2 linked regions of the Macaca mulatta genome follow. The protein of the gene in region 1 purifies or fractionates together with the protein of each later gene. This does not show direct contact. Links are inferred from orthologs where the notes say so. Each region holds a gene or a part of one and is shown on either strand. Other genes may lie near its edges. The genes, in order: CASP3 and CRYAB.

Region 1 (4,449 bases):
GGCTATTGTCACTGGACCTGGTGAAGTCAATCTTTTAATATTTACTACGTAATTAAGGTAAAAATATGAGAACAGGAATGTAAAATCAAATACAGAATAAACTGAAATAAGTTCCATTGTACTATACAAACAAACCATCCTTTCCTTTTCTCTGGCATGGGCCATGTGACCAGGAAGACAGTATAGAGCACTCCCCACTATTCAAAGCCTCCGAGTTTACGACACAAGTCAGAAAGAATGGCACTTACCATGTGCAAAAGGTCTGTCCTCCCTGTGCCAAGTGAAGTCCTAGGATAGTGTTTTTGGAGGGACAAAAGGAGAAAACGGGAAAGCCTTCACAGATCTAAATGATTTATATAAGTGTAAAATGGAGGATCTTGAATGCTTTTTTATAAAAATTACAGATAACATTAAAGGCTCACCACTCCCACCAAGAATGACTACTTTGCAGAATCAGATTCAGGTTTAAAACCGCTTGAAGAAACCCTACTGTCTGGAAGACTGAAACTGCCAAAAGTCAGATTCAGTAGCATCTATTCATTTGATATTTGCACCATAACAATTTACTGAACACCAACTGTGTGCAGAGTACTATACTAGACCCTGAGTGTATCAAGCAGTGGACGAGACAAACCCTATCTCTATGCAGGGCTTATACCGATGTTCACTGGCATTCAAAAGTGGCTCAACAAAGCAGATGCCAGACGGTGTCCAATACATATCAGGTAGCTTGATTGCATTATTGTAATGCAAAGAAGCCCTACAGGCAACATGTGAAGGTAAGAACAAAACATGCAGAGAAAGAACATTATATAAATCTAAGAATTCTCACATCTTTTTTTAGGCCCAAATACCAGTGCTTCCTATCTTTGGGGCAGAGCTTAAACATCTAATAGTAGGCACCAGAAGCAATGTAATATATCATTCATGAAAATAAAGACTGCTTTGTAGGGGGATGAAGCAGTAGGAGATTGTGTTAAATGAGGTCTGAAAGCAAAACAGTGAAGAAGCATTATAACTGCCTATATCAGATGCCAGTCTCTTCAAAAGGCAAGAGTCAAGGCCTTTATTCAGGATAGCAAAAGCAAACCTGATTTAACTAGGTACAATGTCTAATGTCTCTTACTCTGAACAGGTTTTATTGCCATACTCCAATAAACTGTTCGTGCATTCACTAAAATATATTTTCACTTTCAAAAACCTTCTTTTACAAAAAGGCAAAGCAAAACCAAAGCCCAAGCATCGGGCTGTGATAGAGATGATTTAAGCTTTACATTTCACTTTTAGAGATGATGTAACCACAGCACGCACACTCACAGTGGCTGAGCCCATTTTGATACAGTCTAGTCTAACCACCTTTCCTGGCCCTCTTTCTGCTATCTTGCAGGTTTACATGGTTTCAGTGACTCCATGTCACCTCTACCATTTCTTTTCTAACTATTATTTGCTAAATAATCCTAAACCAGGTCTACTTTTTCTAGATAGGGCATAAAAGTAAAAACACAACGGATGGGCATTCACTGCGTTGTGCCAGGGCCCGCATTTGGTGAAAGACTCTAAGGACACCAAGATAAACCAAGTCCATCCCTCCTGGAGTTTGCTTGCAAATCTAGCAGGGAAGACAGTAAACAAGCAACTGCAGAGGATATGACACATCTCTCTTAGGGAACGCTGGCTGCAGAAAGAACACAGTAGAGGAAGATTGAACCTTGAACTGTTTTAATGAAAACAGAAGTTTAAGTAGCAGCTCTTACTTCTAATCAAATGTGATGGCGGGAGAAGGGGAATGCAGAGGTGTGGCAGACACTAGCTATGAAGGTCAGCATTGCTGTGCAGAAAGTGAATCGGTGCTAAAGATAGGGAGGGGTGGGGGCACTCAGGACCCAACACGTACTGGGGTTTGTCAGCCGTATTAAGTGCTGGGTTTAACCTAAGGGCAAAGGACGCGCTTTCTAGACTTTCATTTCATAAAGATCCCTCTGTGCTGTGAAAAGTGGACTACAAAGGAGCAGGCGGGTCTGGAGGTGGAGAGACCAGGGAAGAGGCTGCTGTGGAGATGGAGAGACGTGGACAGACCTGGCAGACGTTTACAAGGTCGACAAGGCTTGGTGACTAAGCGGGAAAAGAAGTAGGTGGGCGAGAGGGGGGCGAGAAGGATGTTTTCCGGTTTCCTGCTTGGGTGCCACTTACTGAGAATGGGGGAAAGACGCAGGTGCAGAGCACACCCACTGAAAACAACAGCGCCGAGCGCGAGCAGGGCTCGCTCACTCCTCACGGCCTGGGATTTCAAGGCGACGCCAATCAGCTGTGGCCACGGAGACACAGCCACAGGGATGAGCTGTGAGCACTCACGAAACTCTGCAGGGCCGAAAAGGAATTGGATTTTAAACCCTGCAACTAGCTCTCTGGAAGAGCTAAACCACACAGTCAACCCGGGATAGTCCAGGCCCCAGGCATGGAAGGCAGCAGAGACGGAAGCCTCGCCCAAAATTGGAAGGATCAGCCCCGAGGGCGAGTCCCTCACAGTCAGCACCCGGCCGCCCCAGCCCTCGCCGCACCGCTTCCCGGGGCCACTCCTCCGCCGGCGGTAGCACCGTCTGCTTTCCAGCTTGCCGCTGCCTCCCGCTGCCTGGCCCGGCCTCCTGGCCCCAGGCCCGGCCGCCAGGTCTCTGGCCCTCGGAGTTCGGTGCCCCGTGCCCGACCTCCCGGCCCCGGCCTCGGTTCCCCCGGGCCGGCCTCCCGCTGCCTGGCCTCCCCGGCCCCAGGCAAGCCTCCCGCCCCCGGGTCAGGTCTCCCTTCCGATGACCTGAGGCCTTTCCTTAGGTTACTCCCAGGTCCCTCTCCCTAAATCAAAAGCCTTAACCCGCTGCCTGGCTGCCCCGGCCCCGGCCCCGGGCTTCACTGCTCGCTGCCGCCCCGGGTGAGGTGGCAAAACAAAGGCTCCGCCGCCCAGGTCCCCGGGCGGGCGCTGGGCCTGGGAGGACGCAGGGAGCGGGGACAGGGCTGACCGCCCGGAGCGAGCGCGGCACTCACCGCACAGCCTTCTCACACCTTCCACAACCGCCTCACAGCAGCAGCCACCCGTTACGATCCGCGTCTGCACCGCTTCAGCAGCCCGCCGCCTGGGGACGTGCTCCAGCGCTAGCCCCGCCCCCGGCCCGCCCCTGTCGGCCCCGCGCGCCCCCTCCCTGGGGCCCGTCCCCCAGCTCCCGCCCGCCCGAGAACCCAGGGCCGGGCTGGGCCCCAGGAGCCGCCAGCCCGCGCCCGCGCCCGCGCCCGCGCCCGCGCCCGCGCCCGCGCCCGCGCCCGCGCCCGCGCCCGCGCCCGCGCCCGCGCCCGCGCCCGCGCCCGCGCCCGCGCCCGCGCCCGCGCCCGAGGCCCCGCCCCCCGAGGCCCGCCAGGCCCCGCCCCCCGAGGCCCGCCAGGCCCCGCCCCCCGAGGCCCGCCCCCGAGGCCCGCCCCCGAGGCCCGGCCCCGCTCCCCCGCCCCGGATTTGAAAGCTGGGTCTTCCTGAGAGTCCGCGGGCTTCCGCTCCCAGCGCGGGATTCTGGAGGTAATTTGAGGAAGACTTGGAAACCGCGCCAGGCCCAACGGGGACCTAGAAGGGAGACAAGGCCAGGCCTGCTGCCCAGTGTGAGCTCTGAGAAGAAGAGGAGCGGGCCGGGACGCCCTCCGGTAATTTCCGTCCCCCCTCCGGTGACCTGAGGCCTTTCTTGGGGTTACCCCCAGGTCCCTCTCCCTAAATCAAAAGCCTTAGCCTCCTGTCGCCAGGGTGCCGGGCTAGTAATAAGCAGGTCCACGCATGCTGGACACACGGGCTCAAGCCACTCCGCGCATCAGTCAGTACTACAAACCGTACGCAGTAGTGTACTTAATCCATATATAAACGTTACATGTTAAGCATCCCACAGCAAACAAAGTAGCATTTAACATCCCGAGGAAAAAAAGAGAGAGGACAAAGAGATGAACAACCAATCCAGAGGGAGTGAAGAAGAGAAGAAGAAGCCTGGTTTGGGCCCGAGAGGTCCTTCTGCAGAGACAGCGTCAATTAAGACTGTTTGGAGCTGCCGAAGGCAGAGTCCGGGTGAGAACTGACAGTGGAAGAGGGCGCTTGTTTGTGTCCTTACCTGAGTGGATGCGGACTAGTTTTTTACTTGTTTATTAAAGTATAGTATCCTTGTTGGCAAATGCCCTATGAAATATAAAATGGAGTCTTTTCCTAAGATGGAGTTATTAATAGTTACGTGAAGGGTGTGCTATACACTGCCGTACTGATCCCCTTCCTATTTTGGGTCATGAACTCATTTTAGACCCTGAAGCAAACTGTGAATCGTTTTCGCAGAAGAATTCTCCACCACGTGAGCACGACATTCTGCATCAGATTTCAAAAGGTTCTTGACATTCAGAAGTCAGATCAGGGACCCCATGGCAGAGCCTATTTCTAACGCT
Region 2 (4,231 bases), on another chromosome or scaffold:
ACCTGTTTCCTTGGTCCATTCACAGTGAGGACCCCATCAGATGACAGGGATGAAGTAATGGTGAGAGGGTCCACATCAGCTGGGACCCGGTATTTCCTGTGGAACTCCCTGGAGATGAAACCATGTTCATCCTAACCCAAAAGAATGAGGAAAGAGGCAGAGAGATAAGAATATGAACTACTATCACCTGCCCAGAACTCAGGCATCCTGATTTCCCCTTAGGTGAGACCAAATGCCATGACAACATAGGAAAAATAAACAGTGCTTTGTTTCAGGGTTGTGGCTAAGATGAAGTTACCTAGGTAGTCACTCCTACCAGTGAGAATCTGAGAAGTCTGAAACAGTACAACACTTCATTGTTTTTCAAACCCTGAGGCATAGATATGTTTAGGAGTATTTCCCAAAGGTTTAGATAATGTTGACTGGGCCTACAGAATTTGGAATCTCATTTAGAATCTGAGTCCCTGAGGAAGCCCTGAAATTGTCCTGACTCTTCAGGAATGTCCCAGAAGGTTCCAGAACAATAGGACTGCTGCTGGGGAAAAAAAAAAAAAAAAAAAAAAAAAAAAAAGACTCCATCCAAGGAGACTATGACCCAAACCTAAATCATATGAGCAAAATTGAAACAGCCTGAGGACATTACTAAGGACAAACTGTACTGGTTGACGCACAGGTTCTGAGCTATCGCTGAGCTATCGTTAATTGGTGAGAAGGAATTTTAAAGCCCTCTTACAAAGTCATGAAAAGCTGTTCCATTCGTCAGAATTCCCCCAAAGAGTAGATGACCTTAACCCGTATGCCTGCTGACTCTCAAGCATGTAGCCAAACAGGCTCTCATTAACTGATTTCCGCATGGGCTATAGGGGATTAAAGACTGAGCACAGCTCTGAAATTTAGACAAACCAAGTAGTTCAGCATTAAGATGGGCTAAAGAAGAGACATGGATTCTTGCACAGCTAACAGAGAATTCACAACTCAAGTGCCTTTAGGGTACCTGTAGTTAATGTAATTATGCAAAGCAACTAGGTGTCTGACAGCCCTATACCTAAATCAGTGGTCCTCAACCTTGACTGTAGATTAGAATTACCTTAAAAAATGTTGATGCCCTGGGTCCCACCCCTAAAAATTCTGATTTAATTGGTCTGGAATATGCCTGAGCATTAGGTTTTTTGAAAGTTCCCCTGGTGATTCTAATGTGGCCAAGATTCAGAACCTCTGGCTAAGATGGGGCATCAACATCCCATCATCCCATCTAAGGCGATCAAATCAAACAAAGACCACATCTCTGGCCATAACAACAGTAACAACAGCAATAGGTCTATCCCTAACTTAGTCTTCTAGACATTGATTTGTAACCCCTGATCTAGACTATTATAGCTTGGGACTGGAATGTAGCCAGCCTCCAAAGCTGATAGCACTACCTGGACTATTACAGTATACACTGAATGAATGAGCAGAAAACAAAAACCAAGCTACATACCTGGCGCTCTTCATGTTTGCCATGCACCTCAATCACATCTCCCAACACCTTAACTTTGAGTTCCTCTGGGGAGAAGTGCTTCACATCCAGGTTGACAGAGAACCTGTCCTTCTCCAGGCGCATCTAGAAATAGCAAGGTAAGGGAATGGGACGGGAGAAAGATGGCGAAAGTACTCATTATACTGGTGTTGTCTTATTCTGCAGAGTTGCTTTCTGTCCAGGTAATTCATCCTTCTCTTTTCTGCTTTAAAATATCCCCTTTTTAAATAAACATGGCTCTCTGCTTCAGGGAGCCACCACAGTGATACCTAAGGCTCATGGTGATCAGACCCAAACTTTATTTACAGGGACAGAGAAGAAGACAGATCACCCAGGGGACCAGTCGCAAGGATGGGTGCAGGCCTGGCATCTGCTGCCTCTCTGGCTCCGATGCCTGGCTTTGTGGTTTGTCTGTGAGACAAAGGCCTCTTCTTCTGGCTCAGGTCTCTTTGCCAGTTTTCCACCCACCCAATCTGGAATGTTCTGCTGGTCCTGCTTGTCCTTCCAAAGCCCTTGCCCACTCATCTCCTGTTTACTCACACTCGAATATTTTTAAACCAGAGCGTTATCTGTGACAGCTTCTGTCAACCTTATATGTTCACCCTGTTCTCTCACCCTCTTAGGACGAGTGGGGGTCCCTATATTGTTTCCTCATAAGGCTTGGTTGGACCCAGGCCAATGCCCTGTCACAGCCCTGAGAAACCCAGAAAATCACAGAAGAGGGAATAAAAAGGCAGAAAATGCCCATGAGGGTGAACAGCTCAGGCAGGGTGAGGCAGGGCTCTCTCCTGGCTCTGACACCTGAGATGGTAAAATTGGTCAAGAGTCCATGGTGTTAGAAGAGATGAGCAAAGGAGTTTGAAGGCAGCTCTTTCCCTGCAGATTGTTATGAACCAAACCAGAAAGGGGTACCCTGCAGAGAAGTTAGGGGATGGAGGATGAACTTGACAGTGCATGAAAAAAATGTAATAAATGGGATACAGAGGACCATCAAGTAGAAACAGGTGACGGGGGAGGGAGGAACTAGCAACCTCCTCATTTTTCTTCACATTTGGATACACATGTGCCTAAAATGGTTTAGGCAGGAAAGGAGAGGAAAATGGATGGAGAAGTTTACAGGAGGTTCCAGTAAGGACTCTCCCATTCTAGCAGTGGGGAGACTCACCTCTGAGAGTCCAGTGTCAAACCAGCTGGGTGCCCGCAGGAAGGAGGGTGGCCGAAGGTAGAAGGGGCTCAGGGAAGTAGACGTCGGGAAAAGATCAGACTCCAACAGGTGCTCTCCGAAGAACTGGTCAAAGAGGCGGCTGGGGGAGTGGAAAGGAAAGAAGGGGCGGCGGATCCAGGGGTGGTGGATGGCGATGTCCATGGTGGCTAGGTGAGTGTGGGGGGTCAGCTGGCTGGTCAGCTCCTTCAGCTGCAGCTACAGCCAGCCCCTTATATATGCAGTCTTGTGAAGCTTCTGGAATGGTGATGTCAGGGGTTTTATTATCCTAGCTCACCGCCGGTTCATGGAGACTTGTGATCGGGGATTTGGCAGTGTGACACATACCCAGTACTCACTGAGCTAAGAAAAGAGAAACACAAACACGTCTGAGCCGGCCAGTGACTTGTCATGGTCTTGTTTCACTAGCTTTCTGTACACACCCAGTGGCACCCACCCCCACCCCAGTTCTCTGAAGCTGGTACAGAGTCAGGAATCCCAAGCAGGCACGCGGGCGGGTGGGGGGGCAGGCGGTGGAGTGTGCCCCTCCTCCTCCTCCTCTTCAGTCCTGAATGCCAGGGGAATCAGGCCAGCAACTATCTTGGGCCTGGGCAGGGACTGGAATCTTCCTAGGCTGGGCCCCAGGGACATTAACTCTTTGTGAGTCCTTGGAAGAGAGCAGTGATGGTCAACATGTCAGTACCAGCCATCTGCCTCCTGCCCTGGGTTGACCTGGGTTTAGGAGAGGACTCCGACATCTGGGCAGAAAGACCCCACTCCCTGAAAAAAAGAGCAGAAAGATTTCTTGCATCTTTCATCCTATGTGGCTCTCAGAACATTAAATCCAGGAGTGCTTTAGGAATTGGGTGCACAGTGCCGGCCTCCAAGGAGGAGAAAATGAGGTGTGGAAACGTGCAAACCGTTTGTGAGGGTCTCAGCGAGGCCTCTTCATGCCCCAGGCACCACCAGCTACCCCTTCTCAGCTCGTTCCTAACCAGGACCCTCAGCTGTCCTCTCAGGCCCCCTGCGACAGCTGAAGAGTGTGCGGGGGAGGGGACTAGGGGTCCAGGCGGCGCTGGTCACACCCTCGTTGCTCTCACTCAGGGCCCCCACTCCCCGCCCCTCCCCCCCAGAGGCTCGGCACTATTTTGGGTGGTGTCGACCCCGCCCCCACCTCCTATCGAGCCCTGGCTCTCCGGGCAGCTGGAGGGGTCGCGCTGCGCCTGTTGGGGCTGCACCTCGGACCAGGGCTCCCGCTGCATCTGCAGCCATGTCGGGCCGCTCAGTGCCACATGCCCACCCAGCCACCGCTGAGTACGAATTTGCCAACCCGAGCCGCCTGGGTGAGCAGCGCTTCGGAGAAGGTATGGCACAGATGCCACCCCCTTGCCTCCCACCCCCACCCCCTGAAATTCTGGGCTGACCTCCCAACGTTACTGGCCTCCACCCCACTCTGGGCTTAACTGATCTCCTGGGACCAGCCACCCCCCACCCCAGACTCCCTCTCATCC

The links.
Region 2: the proteins of CASP3 (region 1) and CRYAB purify together in Homo sapiens (affinity purification with western blotting; 3 studies listed by BioGRID). This does not show direct contact. The link is inferred for Macaca mulatta from reciprocal best matches to the Homo sapiens genes CASP3 and CRYAB.

The regions. Positions count from the first base shown.
Region 1 is NC_133410.1:193,076,517-193,080,965, forward strand, and holds the start of CASP3 (caspase-3), read right to left. Parts: upstream 3,102-4,449; 5' UTR 3,034-3,101; intron 2,359-3,033; 5' UTR 2,191-2,358; intron 2,129-2,190; exon of another isoform or gene 2,095-2,128; coding exon of another isoform or gene 2,057-2,094; exon of another isoform or gene 1,969-2,056; intron 1-1,968. Other genes in the region: PRIMPOL (DNA-directed primase/polymerase protein), read left to right, coding at 2,057-2,094. UniProt on the Homo sapiens protein: Thiol protease that acts as a major effector caspase involved in the execution phase of apoptosis. Following cleavage and activation by initiator caspases (CASP8, CASP9 and/or CASP10), mediates execution of apoptosis by catalyzing cleavage of many proteins.
Region 2 is NC_133419.1:112,657,419-112,661,649, forward strand, and holds the start of CRYAB (alpha-crystallin B chain), read right to left. Parts: upstream 2,919-4,231; 5' UTR 2,886-2,918; coding exon 2,685-2,885; intron 1,895-2,684; exon of another isoform or gene 1,826-1,894; intron 1,604-1,825; coding exon 1,481-1,603; intron 132-1,480; coding exon 1-131. Other genes in the region: HSPB2 (heat shock protein beta-2), read left to right, coding at 3,991-4,084. UniProt on the Homo sapiens protein: May contribute to the transparency and refractive index of the lens. Has chaperone-like activity, preventing aggregation of various proteins under a wide range of stress conditions.